3 separate regions of the Mus musculus genome follow, and all the other regions are reported to be linked to region 2. The links are microRNA targets in miRTarBase. Many come from high-throughput screens and were not tested one by one. Region 2 holds a microRNA gene; each other region holds the end of a gene's coding sequence. Distances are from middle to middle.

What was found. The annotated mature microRNA mmu-miR-129-2-3p reads AAGCCCUUACCCCAAAAAGCAU and lies in region 2 at 1,722-1,743, shown strand. An mRNA with a match to its seed (bases 2 to 7 or 8) in the 3' UTR can be bound and repressed. Matches are read on the target gene's strand: a 7mer-m8 pairs with bases 2 to 8, a 7mer-A1 pairs with bases 2 to 7 and ends in A, and an 8mer does both.
Region 1: miRTarBase lists Polr3f as a target of mmu-miR-129-2-3p. Seed matches in the 3' UTR shown: 7mer-A1 at 2,121-2,127.
Region 3: miRTarBase lists Ncl as a target of mmu-miR-129-2-3p. Seed matches in the 3' UTR shown: 7mer-A1 at 2,611-2,617 and 7mer-m8 at 2,966-2,972.

The regions. Positions count from the first base shown.
Region 1 is chr2:144,537,640-144,542,711 of GRCm38, reverse strand. Polr3f (polymerase (RNA) III (DNA directed) polypeptide F) reads right to left here. Exons shown (of 9, transcript NM_029763.3): 9 at 933-4,100. The coding sequence ends at 4,023. It overlaps Rbbp9 (retinoblastoma binding protein 9, serine hydrolase), which reads left to right. Exons shown (of 5, transcript NM_015754.2): 5 at 1-447. Among named protein-coding and RNA genes, the nearest start is that of Rbbp9, 11 kb to the left of the region's middle.
Region 2 is chr2:94,238,047-94,243,118 of GRCm38, reverse strand. It overlaps Mir129-2 (microRNA 129-2), which reads left to right and starts at 1,666; the gene lies at 1,666-1,755. It overlaps Mir670hg (a long non-coding RNA gene), which reads left to right. Exons shown (of 8, transcript XR_003953878.1): 4 at 4,732-4,846. It overlaps Mir129b (microRNA 129b), which reads right to left and starts at 1,741; the gene lies at 1,677-1,741.
Region 3 is chr1:86,346,257-86,351,328 of GRCm38, reverse strand. It overlaps Ncl (nucleolin), which reads left to right. Exons shown (of 14, transcript NM_010880.3): 13 at 294-517; 14 at 633-5,072. The coding sequence ends at 709. Snora75 (small nucleolar RNA, H/ACA box 75) reads left to right here and starts at 44; the gene lies at 44-159.

The sequences.
Region 1 (5,072 bases), 50 Mb from region 2:
ATCCAAGAAAAGCCTAAGACAACCAAAATGAACATAATAGTAAAGGTGGAAGACAAGGGAGCAACCTGTACTGTGTTATTAAGTTCTAAGTGTCCTCAAAAGAACCTTTTTCTAGAAGACCAGATTTCAATTCCCAGAAACGACATGGTGGCTCTGTAATGGGATCTGACGCCCTCTTCTGCTAAGTCTGAAGACACCGTGTACTCACATACATAAAATAAACTATGCCAGGTTAATTCTATAGAGTTCAGCCTCTTGTAGAGAGTATTCAAGCAACACTGCCGAGTCTTCTCATATTCACTCACATAAACAACCCCTTTTTAATACTACTTTTTATATTGTATATATTCAATGTATAAAATGGTTTGATGATTCCATTTCCACTGGTTTATAAAGTACTTTGACCAAATGTAAAAAGATATAATAAAAAATGTTTATTTCCTAGTATCTTCTGACTGCTGTGGTGCCAAAGATCTCTAGTGTACTTAAACTTGATGACTCAGAACCCGTGACAGATGCAGAAATGTGATCCCCCACACTTTTATCCTAGAAGGGGTACAAAGCTGTTGTGTTAGCCTAAAATGATTTGGGGATTTCTAAAGTCAGGGATGACTTTAACTTTTAACATAAGTATATTTGGAGGATAGGACGACAAACATATATATAGGTGTACTCTAAGTGTTCACATGGGAATGAATAATACCAGAAACAGAAAGTTATATATATCAAATGAATATATTTTATCCTGCAGAAAACAAATAGCAAACATTTGTATGTTAATTTAAGAATTCAAAAGAGCAGAGTAAATAATTACTAATTTCAAATTCAAGTAGACTCAAATTGGATTGTAGGCTTGACTGAATCACCGCTAAAAAGCCTGTTACATACACATACACACACACACACAATGAAAACACTTATTTTTTTTTCCTAACGTTAAAAATCTTAATTATAAACTAACACATTTCAGTGTGAGTTTCAATAATTCCCAGGGGGAGAGTATGCAAGAGAGCTCTCTGTTGAGCTGTGCCGTCTAATATAAACAGTATGCACAGGCAACTAAATAAAAACTTAGCTCTTAATCATTTGTGTCAAGTGCTGGCCAGCCATCTGGCTGAAGGTTACTGGACTAAACACCAAATAAAGACTATTTCCATCATGATAGAAAATGCTATTTGTCCAGATGTGGCACATACCTATAAACCCTGCAGGAGCAACATAGAGGCAGGATTCTGTTCAAGATGCTGTCTTACTGGATCATACTGCTAGAGGGCGCATATTTTGTATTCATCTCTCACCTACCAGATAGTAAATCTGAAACTACTTTTCCCCCCTTAACTGTTGGGTTGATGGTTGGGCCAGAGGCCTCATCGTACGAGGAGTATTCGATCACTGTCCATCACAGAATTGATATGACTACTTTGCTTAATTACCACCAAAACCCTTATTTAAAACTTATTTATTGCCAAATTCAAAGTTTAATGTGAGAATCCACATTAAGAACCACTAAATCACCTCATGTCTCCCTTCTTTATGGATCACTTTTAAACGGGGTCCTCAACAGATTAGTAGTATGTGTGCTCAGGTGAACAAAAGGCCTAGTACTAAGTGGGAGAGTATGAAGAATCTGGGCTTCATCTGCAATTTGATTTTGTGACATTATGATTTTAGAGGCCCACAATTTCTTTTGATAGCTTATTCCCACTTTATTTACAGAACAGTTGCTACATTTTCAGACTTCTCTATCCTTCTCAGTTAATACAGTAAAAAAATACATTACAAGGCAAAAATACTCAGAGTAAAAAATAATGCTGAGGAAAAATATCTAAGCTCTCTTTATTCTGGTGAGGCAAGGAACATTTCTAACCACTGAGTGCTGATTTAAAAACTCATCTAATTATCAAGACAATGCAAAGCCAGGCCCGGCTGCTAAATGCGTGCCTGGAATCCCAGCACTTGGAAAGCTAAAGCAGAATAACTGAGTTCAATGCCAGCCTGGGCCATCAAGTTTATTCCAGGCCAGTGTGGAGTGATGCTCTTATCTCTAACAACAAAACAGAATGCGGAGCAGATTTCCAAAACAACTTTTTTCTTTTTTTTCGAGACAGGGTTTTTCTGTGTAGCCCTGGCTGTCCTGGAACTCACTCTGTAGACCAGGCTGGCTAGAAGATAACTTCTCTCTTTTATTGTTATTTGGTTCCTCAAGATAGGGTTTCTTTATGTAGCTCTGGCTGTCCTAGATCTGCCTGCCTCTGCCTCCTGGGTACTGGGATTAAAGGCTTTCCACTATACTCAGCTTACTTCGTGTCTAAGGTTGTTTGATCGTACTAAGTTTTTTATATAAGCCAAAAGCATGGACCAACTTAAAGGGTTTGCACTGGGATCCTCTGTGGAGCTGAGTTCTACCACCTTCTGACAGTGCTCTAAGTGAATAGCATCATTAGTTACCTGAGTAAAATCAAACTCACTAGTTCACTTTTATCAGATGAAGTCTATGGCCAGCTCTATAAGAGTAAGCATTCAATGACACCAGCTATTTTAAGTGTTAGATTATATATAAAACACAGGGTTTTTTTTCCCTCCACCTCTTGTGAGGTGCGGCATGGTAACAATGTCCGATCTGCCTGACCTATCAAATAAGCACTAGTCTTACCTTACTAGAAAATTAAATATGTAAGAGAGATAAAAATGGAAAAAAGAGCCAGGTGCGGGTATCGCATCTTTAATCATAGTCCTTGGGCAGTAGAGGCAGGCAGATCCCTGAGTTTGGTCTACAGAGTTCTAGGACAGTCAGAGCTACATAGAGAAACCCTGTCTCAAAACAAAAAGGGGAGGGGAGTGCTGGTGAGGTGGCTCAGGGATTAAGAGCACTGACTGCTCTTCTGAAGGTCCCAAGTTCAAATCCCAGCAACCACATGGTGGCTTGCAACCATCTGTAATGAAATCAGACGCCCTCTTCTGGAGTGTCTGAAGACAACTACAGTGTACTTACAGATAAATAAATCTTTAGAAAGAGACAATCCACGAGCTGAGATCCTTCAGAGGCTACCTTCTGTACAACAGCACGCCAATTAATGTTTTCCAGGGCCGAACAGCCAGGACTGAGAAAGTACACAGTGATGGCTTTCTGCTCAGACATGTCATACCAGTGTTTTGAAGAATAAGAGAAAAGGGCACCAGCTAAATACTGGTTACCAACCCTCAGAGACTGAATGAAGGGCAATGTTCTATTTTTATTTGTATGTGTGAGACTGGGTCTCTCCCTATATAGCTCTGGCTGTCCTGGAATTTAGACTGTAAAATTTGAATTTGGCACTAGTGGTAGAGAGAGTCACACTACAGGCATGGAATGAGAATCTGGAAAAAAACCCAGGAAATAATACAATTAAGGCATACAGAGAAAAGTGATAGCCTTAACAAAAAAGGAACAGTGAGACTATTTCTTTTAGCATGGAATAACAGTGATGTGGAAACACGTCCTGTACAACAGCATTTGGGAGTGAGGTCGGTATGGAGGCACACTCCCCTGAAAGAGTCCTGGGGTGAAGAGCAACAGATGGCATGAAAAAGGAATGCCCACTTGACTACCCAGGCCCCAAGATGGCACACATGCCATCAGCTGTTCCTGTCTGCACCACTTGTAATTTCTTCTCAACAAAACCCAAAAACAACCAAACAAATGGTGGTAATAACCCCGATGAGTTTTCAATGAAGCAACTCTAGTGAACATCTTCTCGTTCCAGCCTTTATCTCAGTACTTGGTCAACATAGGCTTGCTGGCTTCTTTTCCTTGCCTTCCAGACCTTCAAGGTATTTTACTTACTGAAGAAGAGACTTCCCAATTAAACTTTATTAAACTCAATCTGCTTTGTGTTCTGTCTTCATAAATAAATGTTTTCATAGCAGCAAGTCAGTATCCATTATTGTGAAGTATGCTTTCAAAGAAATTTACACTCCATCATGAATTGTTTGTTCTCCATGGAGTTCAGTTTGCCAAATGTAGATAAAGTGCACAGCTCTCATTAAAATTCAAGCCACTCTGTCATGTAAATACAATTAGACGGCGAAATCTCACCACCTTCATGGCAGTCCTCAAAAACCTTTAAAAAATAAAAATAAAAAGTCTATTCAAATTCAAGTTTTAAAATATCAGATCCCCACTGATTTAAAGCAATAGTAAATGAAGAAAAAAAAGAAAGAAAATATTCTTTGAAACAGATAAGGACTGAAGAGCATACTGTAACAGTGCCTACTTTGTGGTCATGGTTAACTATAAGCTTTTATATTTTGGTTTGCTTGGTTCTCTTGGTTTTTGCTTTTTAAGACAGGGTCTCACTATGTAATCCTGGCTGTCATGGAATTCACTATGTAGAAAAGGCAGGCTTCAAACTCAGAGATCCAACTGCCTCTGCCTCCCAAATGCTGGGACTAAGGTATACACCTCCCTGCCTGGCTTGGAGGCATATTAACACAGCATGAAGACGAGCCCATTCTCCTGCCCTTTTACCTGGGTAAAAGGCTATTAGCAGGTGCTTAGGAATGAAGGAAGTGAGTACTACACTGATGGACAACAATTTAATTTCTACTAAGTTGAAGATATTCTGTGTTTAAGGATCTTCATAGGGTGCTAAGTAGAATTACCAGGATGTTGGCTTCTGTCTAGGAGTTGAAACTGGGTCACAAAGAGCTCAGGGGTACAGACAAAGGTTATCATAACGAATATGGCAGAGTAGCAGCCCACGAGTATAAATGCCATAAGATAGGAAGTGCCTTTTGCTCCCTATAGCTTCAGGAATGAATGAGCAAGAGTGCTAAGGAATACTGGGAAAAGCATTATGTTTATTCTAAGTGATATTTTCTGCTTAATTTAACTTTCTTCTTTTTCCTGGGGAGCAGGGGGGCACTAGGGGATCGGATCTGGAGAAGAGAGGGCCTGGGTACACTAAGCAAGTGCTCTGCCACTGAGCTACACCCACCCTGAAGTTCCCTCGCTCTTTAGGGAAGAAATAACATCACTAAATAACATCCAAAGACACAGGAAGGATTAGACTATGCTTGGTCATCGTGAGTTC
Region 2 (5,072 bases):
CAGTAGGAGGGTGGGTGGGTCACAGAGCTGTAGGAGGGTGATGAATGGGCGGAGTGGGTGGGCCGACAGGAACTTGGGAGACTAAGGCTCCAGGTCCAGAAATGCATTCTGTGGGTATGATAAGCCAAGGGTGTGTGTGTGTGTGTGTGTGTGTGTGTGTGTACGCGCGCGCGCGTACCTGCCTGCAGGTCCATTCTGGGATGGCAAAAAAAAAAAAAAAAAAAAAAAAAAAAAGTGAAAAAGCCAAAACAAAACCCAACTTTTGCCCCCAAGTTCTTGTGATGCTTGTAGTAACCACCCTGACTTAAGTTTTTTTTTTTTTTCACCCCCTACTGGAAGGGAGATAGGCGTTTGTTTAATCACACCCTTTGGCATCCCTGGGGCTAGGCAAGAGGGCACTGGGACTTGGGTGGGCCTGCACATAAAGAAGAGGGCATCCCCCTTAAGTTAGGCTAGATGGAATGGGGGAGGGACTTAAAGGGCAGGGAGGAGGGGGGAGAGGAGAGACTTTGCCCCCTCCTTCCTCTCTAGCTCTCTATTCCCCTCCCTCCTGCAGATGCTGGAATCTCCTGTCACTGTGACAGTCAATGCCCAGCTCACCCTTTCTTGTTCCCTCAATATTTTGCAGAAGGGGGGGGCAACAAGGAAGGGCACCTGAGGCAAATGGGCCATTAGACACCATGATCTGGACAGGTTGGGGGCTCTGGGGGAGGGAGAAACTTCACCCTTCTTAGTGAACATTCAGAACTTTGGGGGGGCAGAGTGGGGTAGGGGGACTCGAAAAGGTCTAATTTTCTAGAAATAGGCCAACTAGAGTGGGATTTGAGCTTGTTTTATGTTCATCTTTGCCAGTCATTTTCCGTCTGGTTCTTCTGGCTTAGGTCCCGATGGAAGAGGTCGCTCTCTTGAATCCCTCTTTCCCAATATACACTGCCACCCCCTCACCTGGGCTAGAATGGGAGGGAGTCATGGACAGCTTTTGGAACAACAATATTTTAATGTGTTCTAGTCTAGGTTTTGTTGAATAATTAGAAATGGAAATATTTTTCTCCCTCCCCCTTCTGGAAAAAAAAAAAAAAAAGAAATGTGAGCTCTCTTCTGATTGGTGGGTGACGATTTTAGTCCACACCAATGAGCTGGCGGCCTTGTCTGTATTTATTTAGTGCTCTGGGGGAGTTTTTCTCTTTACGCAGCGCCTGTAGTCACGGCTGGAACCTCTGCTGGGGGACTAGGGAGGATAGGAGGGGATTCGGGGGAAATCTGGATCGTACCTGCTCAGAGATCCACGACCTTGCAGTCAGGGCTGTCAGAACCCTGATGGGGGAATTGGGTGATAGACTAGATAGGATCGGAGGCTTGGAGTGCTAGGGCGAGAGGGGTGGAGGCAGGGCTCTGGGATCCGGGGTCCCCCTTCGAGCTACCCTTATCGCTCTCCACTACCTCTTCGAGGTTGTGCAAGGCTGAGTCGGGGGATCTGGAGATAGAGAGAGGGATGGGTTTGGGGACGCGAGGAGGGGAGAGCGGCGCGCAGGGTGGGGAGGATGAGCCGCGGTGGAGCGCGCCGGGGAGATCCAGTCTCCTCGGCTTCGGGGTTCGGAGACATGCTGGGCTAAAGGCGGCGGCGACGGCGGCGGCGGTGGCGGCGGACCGAAGAAGCGGGTAGACTGCCTTTCGCGAATCTTTTTGCGGTCTGGGCTTGCTGTACATAACTCAATAGCCGGAAGCCCTTACCCCAAAAAGCATTCGCGGAGGGCGCGCTCGGCGACGTGACTGCAGCTACCAGCGACCGCCGAAGCCAGCACCTTCCCGAAGCGGCTCCATCCGAGACTTCCCCAGTTTTTCTCCCCGTTTTCCACGGAAGAATCAGCTCTTTCCTCCCCGTCCTTTCCGCGCTCCGCGAGGCTTTGATCACTCGCTTTCCCGAGACATGTCCCCCGCCCCCAACTTTTTAGTCGACTTTGTACCACAGGGGGAATTGGAGCGGGTGGCGTGCGTGTGTTTTCGAAGAAGTGAGAAGAAGCTAAAATGTAATAAAAGTTTACAGAAGTTGTGTCGTTCCCCCACACCCCACACCCCAAATATCCCCACTCACAATAAGGGGGGGGGGCATGGCCATAGGGCCAAGTCAGTACCTAGAATATGAATCAGTTTAGGAAATTTTACGGTCATTTTTTTTTTGACCCTAAGGATTGGAATCTAATATGGGGGAGGGGAAGCCCTTGAGGGAGGGGCGGTAGGCCCTAACCATCCTCGGTTAGGATGAGCGGAATCTAGAGGAGGTGAGATGAATCTCCGTGAATCCGGTAGCTCCGAAAAAGAGGGAAAAACACCCAGGCACCGCCCGCTCCCCGGAGCCTTCTTCCTGAACCTGCTTCCAACCTAATTTCAGGCGTGTTGCAGGCTCCAGTACCCACCCATCTCCTCTTTTTCAAAACTAAGTAGCGCAGGAGAGGATGAAACAGGCGGAAACTAGGGAAAACCCCGCGGGGAAGGAGCTTCTGCGAGCTGCAGTTGTTTAGCAGTGGCAGAGGCAGCAGCCCCATGCTGGCCACTCGAGGCTCCTAGACCTGGGAAGGGAGGCAAGCTGCAAAGGGGAGAGCCCGTGGGTCCCCCTCCTCCCCCTCCACTCCTTGCAGTCGTGACCACTTCGGTTACAAGTGGCACAAATCAGGCCTTCAACACGTTTTGTGCCCCGTGCCCTTCGCTAGCTAAGAACACTGCTAGACACCCTTGCCCTTAGGGACTGGGCCAGAAGGACACACAGACACACGCAAATGTCTATGGGGGTGAAAAGCAGTTAGAGGATGTATCTAGGGATGTGATAGCCCAACACCCCGGGGCTGCAAAGCTTCCCATTTTCGGGGAGGGCCTGAATTTCCCCCCGCATCCCAACCTTTCTGCTTTCAACAAACTCTCTGACTCATTTTGGGGGTCCCATAGTTAACCACCTAAGCTCTACTCTCTCTACCCCCTCCTGAAAGAAAAGAAAGGCTAGCAGATGCTGAGAATGCTGGACAGAGGCAGCCGGTGCTAGCTCAGTACGTAAGAAGGCACAGAATGCGAGAACTCCAGACTCCACAGCTAAATCAGGGTCCTTCTCCCCTGATAAAGGATATTTTTTTCCTCCGAATGTATTTTCTGAAAGAGTAAAAGGGTCTCAAAGATTTGAACATGCTATGGAGAGGGAGCAAAAGCTGTGGGGGGATTTTCTTCCTGCCTCTCACCTGGGGCCGTCTGTGGAGCGATAGCTCTGCAGAGGGAGAGGCAGAAAAGCCACGTTAGATTAAAAATAGCTTCGCACTGTGTCCCTTCACCTACTCTTCTGTCTTTTTCTTACTGTATCCCACCTCCTTTCCCTAGTCAGGAAGCCCTTCCCTCTCCAAAAGCCCGACCATTCACCAGATTTGAGATCGAGGTGACCTTAGAGACGATAACTCGAATAACCTGAACACAGGCTCCTTGGGGTTCCTGAGCCCCCAGAGCCCTCATCTCTCCCACCCAGACTAGACTTGGGACCGGAGTTCCAGGGCCCTAAAGCACCCTGCCGAAGGCGTCGTGCAGCTTGCGAGTCCTCACCTCGCCTCAGCCAGACAACTGTTGCTGTCTCAAAGCTGCCGCTGCTGCCGCTGCTGATGCTGCTGTTGCTGCCAGGCAGCTTCAGCCTAGAGCGGAGGCTGCTCACTTTGGGTCCTACTGGGGGGGGGGGGGGTCTGTGAAGAAGGGTCTCTCATTCTGAGGAGGGCAGGTGAAAAGATTAGTCTCCTTTTCTCCTCAAAAAGGGAAAAGCTGTGGCTTCTTGTGCATTTTTCTTCTCCTGTGTGGGGTGACAGCATCAGCTCAGGGACAGTGGAAGTCTGTTTTTGCCTCTGAAACCAGGGTGCCATTGTTGAGGGAGGAAGCCAAGGGTGGAGGGGTAATCACTTTAGTTATTAAACTTCTAATGCATAACCCCTTACCCAGTGAATCAGGTGCTTGATGGAAACTTCTAGACACTTGCATCTGATGCCAAGCCTGAAGGGCCTGTGTAAGCTGGCAGCCTCTAACCCGGTCTGTTTTTCAGAGGGAGCGAGGCGGGATGTCATGTGTGACATAGTTAGAAAGCTGCAGTGAAGACCTAGTCTCCCAAGCCAAATACTGAATGTAGCTCTTGCCTGTCTTAAAAATCAAGACCAGCCATTGTCTGGGAGGGGGACAGTAAGATGGCGCACAGGAACCACAGAACTCCCTTTAGGTCCCCTGTGTTCAATGAGCAGAGACAGGGACCCAAGCAGGGCTTAGCTGTCCCATTTGGGGCCCACTTTACCTGCTGTGATCTTCACTGTTCATCTTCTCACCCCACCCTATCTATTTCAAAAGTATACACCACACACCTTGTACTGTTCCCTTTGCTCTTCTTCTGAGGATGCGTGTTTACTCTAAGTTTGTCTGATTTGCCTGTCTCGGGCTAGAGGCAAAGACAGGGCCTGGTTTCAAGTAAACTTCCTGAAGTGTCATATTATCTCCGGCCTTCTCAATGACAAGACACTTGTGGTTGTCTCTGAAAAGGTCTCCTCATGCAGCAGTACCACCCCGTGCCTTGGCAGCTCTTGACCCTGATGCACTGCTCTGCCCCTTCCCTTTCTAGCAGCCTCTGTTGCCTTGAGCCTTGACTGCCTGCAATCACCCCAGTGAGCAATCTCACACCTTCTTCCTGGGCAACTGAGTCATCTTGCCCGTCTGGTTATCTTTTAGGTGGTCAAGCCCGTCCTGATACTGAATGGTACAGTGAGGAGTGGCCACCCAAGGGAGGCAGTCTCGGAGGTCACAGGAGCTGATAAGCCTGGATGAAAGATCACAGGAGTTCCAGGTGAGCAGAGATGCTAGCCAGTGCATGCTCTTGACTGGGAAGCCTCAAGGCTTCCCATGCTTCTTACATGGTGAGGAGAAAGCAGCAACTGGGGGGTGGGGGTGGGGGCAGCATTTGGAAACAGTCCTTAAAGAAACAGATCTATCAAGAGATGTTAAATGCAAATAAAGTACCAAGGAGGCAAACCTACTGTGGACTTATGCCAGAGGCAAGATTTGGGTATGTT
Region 3 (5,072 bases), not on the chromosome of region 2:
TCTGCATGGAGAACTTGGGTCTGCAGTATCTTCTCATTGAGCTCCTTTCTGTCCATCAGTGATAGATTATGGATTCGCACGAGAAGAAGAGAGAATTCACAGAACTGGCACTTATCTTCTGTTTTTGCAGAAGTATATTTGGCTGTTGTGTGAGACATTATGAGATACTGGCGATTTTCTCGACCTGAAGAGTACTTTGGTCACTCTACTTGGGTGACTTGGTACTTATTGTGTTACTTTAAAATGTGTTTACTTAATGGGTGAGGTTTTTTTGTTTTTCTTTTCTGTTTTAGGTTTGGTTTTGTAGACTTTAATAGTGAGGAAGATGCCAAAGCTGCCAAGGAGGCCATGGAAGATGGAGAAATTGACGGAAACAAAGTTACCTTGGACTGGGCCAAACCTAAGGGTGAAGGTGGCTTTGGTGGTCGAGGTGGAGGCAGAGGAGGTTTCGGAGGCAGAGGTGGAGGCAGAGGTGGAAGAGGTGGATTTGGAGGAAGAGGCCGGGGAGGCTTTGGAGGTAAGGAAGGGAAAGGAACTGGAAACGGATTCCTAAACCTGTGTCCTAACCAACCACCTTAAATGGGAAGGTCAGTCCTAATTGTATCACCCTTTGATGTTTTTCCTTCCTATAGGTAGAGGAGGCTTCCGAGGCGGCAGAGGAGGAGGGGGAGACTTCAAGCCACAAGGAAAGAAGACGAAGTTTGAATAGTTCCTTCCATCCCATTCTTTCCCTCTTCATTTTAAAGAAAGGACTCTGGGGTTTTTACTCTGTTACCTGTTCAATGACAGAGCCTTCTAAGGACATTCCAAGACAGTAAAGATCCTAAACTCTGTTGCCAGACTTAATACTTCCTAGAGGTTACATTTGGATTGTTGCTTAAGAGCTTGGCAAGACCAACTCTGCCCAGTGGGAATTTCAGTTGTGTTCCTACTGCTTTCAAGAATTCCCAGCTACAAATGTGGAAATTGGTGGGGAACAGCTTCATCATGATTCTGATCTGGAAGATTTAATTTGTATCTTAGAAGGGTGTGTACTGGAAAAGTGGTTGATAGAGCACATGGATCAGTGCTGGAAATACCATACAAGAGCTTGTGTGGTATGTAATTCTATTCCCAGCATAATAAGAACAAACAGTACAGTGCAATCTGAAATGACCTGGACAAGGAATGGTACCCCATTGGGTTGAAAAATTCACATAGCCAGGATGGTTGCACATGCCTTTAACCCCAGCACTTGGGAGGGAGAGGCTGGTAGATCTGAGTTTGATCTGGTGTACAGAGAGTTCCAGAACAGCCAGGGCTGTTTATTAGAGAAAAAACCCTGTCTTGAAAAAACAAGAAAAAAAAACCTCACAGACAACCAAATACAGAGTTTTAGCCACTGAGTACCAAGTCTCAGCAGCAAGCTGGGAGTGACGTAATCCAATCCCATGGGAGGCTAAAGCAGTCTATGACTTCAATGCCAGTTGGGTCTGCAGAACTGAGTTGCTGGATAGTGAGGGATACTTAGAAACTTTGTCTTGAAAAAAAAAACAAGACCTGTCAAATTTGAGAGAAGCTTTGGGAAACAAGGTTTGTAAGTTCCAACAGAGGGAACAGTGGCCTTTTTGACTTAAAGGTTGTCAGAGGTCCAGTTTAACTAGGGATAATACAGTGGCCCTTGGCCTGTGTACTTAATGAATTTTTCAGTGATCTATCAAGGATGTTTGGTTTTTTTGTTTTTTGTTTGTTTTGTATAAGGCATGGGTGCCTAGATAACCTTAATAGAAACTTTCCTGTAGGTGTTTTTCCAAGTCCCACTCCCAACAAACTGATTTTCAAGAAAGACCAGTCAGCTATTCTCAACCAAAGACCCTCTGTAGGGTTGCGCTTAGCACCTGTCTGGTGGCTTGAGTATGTGGTATGACCATTGCAGTCGCAGTCCTGTCTAAAAGTGAGGATGGCGTGGGCATTAGATTTGTGTAGCAGGGAACAGTTTGGTGGGTTCTTTTGCTGTGGGGAGTGGAGCCCTTGATTATGTTAACCTCCTTGTTAAAGATTAATGGCATGTAGCTGAAGGCACTCAGCTGTCATTAATCCTAGAAGGCAGACCAATTTGAGGCTAAGGAATTCCAGAATAGCCAGTGCTACACAGAAGACCCCCAAGACTACAATAGCAAAGGAAAGGTTCAACTCTGGTGCTAGCAGACATCATTTTTTTGTGGATTGAGGACATAGTTAACCTATAGGATCATCAGAAGATTTACAGTTGAATAGCTCTCCCTAAACGAGGCAGACATTTTAGAAAAGCAGCAAACCTTTCTGGAAATGGTTGTTTGCTTTCTTTTCTCATTCTTCCAGCAGGTGGCAACATGAGAACTGAAGAAAGGGTGGAGGGAAGGCAGTTAATCTGCCTTCACCTAATAGATAAACACAAAGCTCTTATTCTGGTGGTAGAGTAGCTTGTAGAGGTCTTTTAAAGAGCAACAAAGCTTTCTCATTTGAAAGATTCACTTCAGCTGGGCGTGGTGGCGCACGCCTTTAGTCCCAGCACTTGGGAGGCAGAGGCAAGTGATTTTCTGAGTGAGTTCGAGGCCAGCCTAGGTCTACAGAGTGAGTTCTAGGACAGCCAGGGCTACACAGAGAAACCCTGCCTCAAAAAACAAAAAGATTCACTCCTGACCATTTATCACCTGCTTTTGACTATACACTACCCCTTCAGTGTGGCTTTTTTCCTACGGATGCTAGTGATAGGAGTTACCTAATGTAGTTTTCAGTTCAATCTGCCTGAACCTTTTCAACTCTTAAGGAACATAGGCAGATGCTAAGGGTGTAGGTCTTGACCCTATACTGAGGTAGAAAGGAAGGGGAAATGGAAGAGGAGCATGTACTCTTTACTTCTAAGCTGGATCTATAGCCTTAGGATTACCATCTATAACAGGCTAATTTCATTCAGTTAGTGGTAAAACCCTTTGCCATAGAATAAAAGGGCTCTCAAGGTTCTAGTAGTAAAACAAGTTTTGGTTGCTGTCCTCCATTAAGTGCCTACTAAATGATAAGTGATGGAGAGGATGGAACTGATTCCAAGAAATACTCAACAGTGAGGACTTATAGGCCACTTAACCTGTGTGTGCTTGTGGGATATTTCTACCTTTTGAAGCAGGGTCTCTTATTTTCTTACTCACTACAAGCTTTCAAGTACTTCTGGCAATACGAATGGGATTAGCAATGCATGCCATTTCAGTGGCCTTATCTGGGTTTCAGGGGTCCTGGTCATCAGGTTCTCGCTGGTAAATCTTAAAGACCACCGTCTTTTTTTTTTTTTTTTTTTTGAGACAGGGTCTTTAGCTCTGTGGCCATCATGGAACTCAATAGGTAGACTAGGCTGACCTCAAGATGTCTGCCTCTTGAGTGTTGCATTAAAGGCCTGTGCCACCATGTCAGGCTCCATTATAGAAACACACTACTATCAGAAGGATGATAGGCTGAGGCCCATTTTTTAACCCTTTGAAAAAAATTCTGGCTGGGCAGTGGTGACACTGCCTTTAATCCCAGCACTTGGGAGACAGGCAGGTGGATTTCTGAGTTCAAGGCCAGCTGGGTCTATAGAGTAAGTTCCAGGACAGCCAGAGCTATACAGAGAAACAAAAAAAAAACAAGGGTTTATTGGGGAGGGAAGGGAAGTACTTATTTTGAATAAGGTTTTATTGTGTATCCCTGATTGTCTTTGAAATTAATTTGCTTCAACTCGAAGTGCTGAGACTGCAAGTATGTACAACCACAGTACTCTTAGGTTCTAACTGAATTCTCACCCATTATTTTTCAAATACGGCCTTTCAGTTTTATTCTCTACTGGACTCTTAGATAACCAGATACTGGCATTGAAACTAGTTTTTTTCTCTTTGAATATTAATTTGGATACATTCTATTGTTTTGGATTCTAGTTCACTGATTCTTCTGTTAGGCCCTTTAGTGAAGCTTTCAGGTGTCTTTAGTTTTTTTTTAATTTGTGTGTGTGGGTATAGTGTCTGTATTTCTCCATGTGCATGCAATGCCACAGGAGGCCAGAAGAGGGTGGATCTTCCAACCTTTTTTTTTTTTTTAAAGATTTTTATTTTATGTATATGAGTACACTGTAGCTGTCTTCAGACACACCAGAAGAGGGCATAGAATCCCATTACAGATTATTGAGAGCCACCATGTGATTACTGGGGATTGAACTCATGACCTCTGAAAGAGCAGTCAGTGCTCTGAACTACTGAGCCATCTCACCAGCCGCCTTCAAGTTCTTGTGAACCACCATGTGGGTACTGTGAATCAAACTTGTGTTTTCTGGACTCTTAACAGCTGAGTCATCTCTCTAGCCCTTCAAGTGTTTCCTTTCTCTTCTAGGTTTCCAGTTTATGAAGCCCCCATTTTGTCATTTAAATTCTTTTCCTGCAAATTCCTATACATCTACAATCATTGAAGTCATTTGTAAATTTTTTTATGTGCATTAGTATTTGGTCTTTATGTGTGTGAGGAGTCAGACCCACCATGTTACAAACAGTTGTGAGCTGCTATGTGGGTGCTGGGAATTGAACTTGGGTCCCCTGGAAGAGTGACCAGTGCCCTTAAGTCGCCCCTTATTTGTAGTTTTAACAGGAGTTATGGTTGAGTACTTGTTAGGATTATGAAGAGTTGTTTCTCTTTCATTGCATGTCTAAACTGGACATTGACCCATATTTAGAGGCCAGCCATGTGCTAATTCAAGTACATTTTGTACTGGCATTCTTAAGTAGCTAGCAAAATCTGAGTTTCTGTTTTTCATAGAATATGATGAGATTTACTTTAAAGCCAGGTAATGTGTTTATCCTGAGAATACCAGCTGTGTATTTTCTTGAGCCAACCAAATTGAAAGTGAGGAGTTTCAGTGATTAAACACTGGCTGTTTACATGCAGAGAACCCCAGTTCACTTCCCAGCATCCAGATGCTGCTTGACTGTAACTAGTTCCAGGGACCCAAGGTCCTTTTCTGCTTTTTGGGCACTTTCTTGGGTGCTAGCAAAACACCCATATACATAAAAATGAATAGGAAAATGAAAAATTTAGGA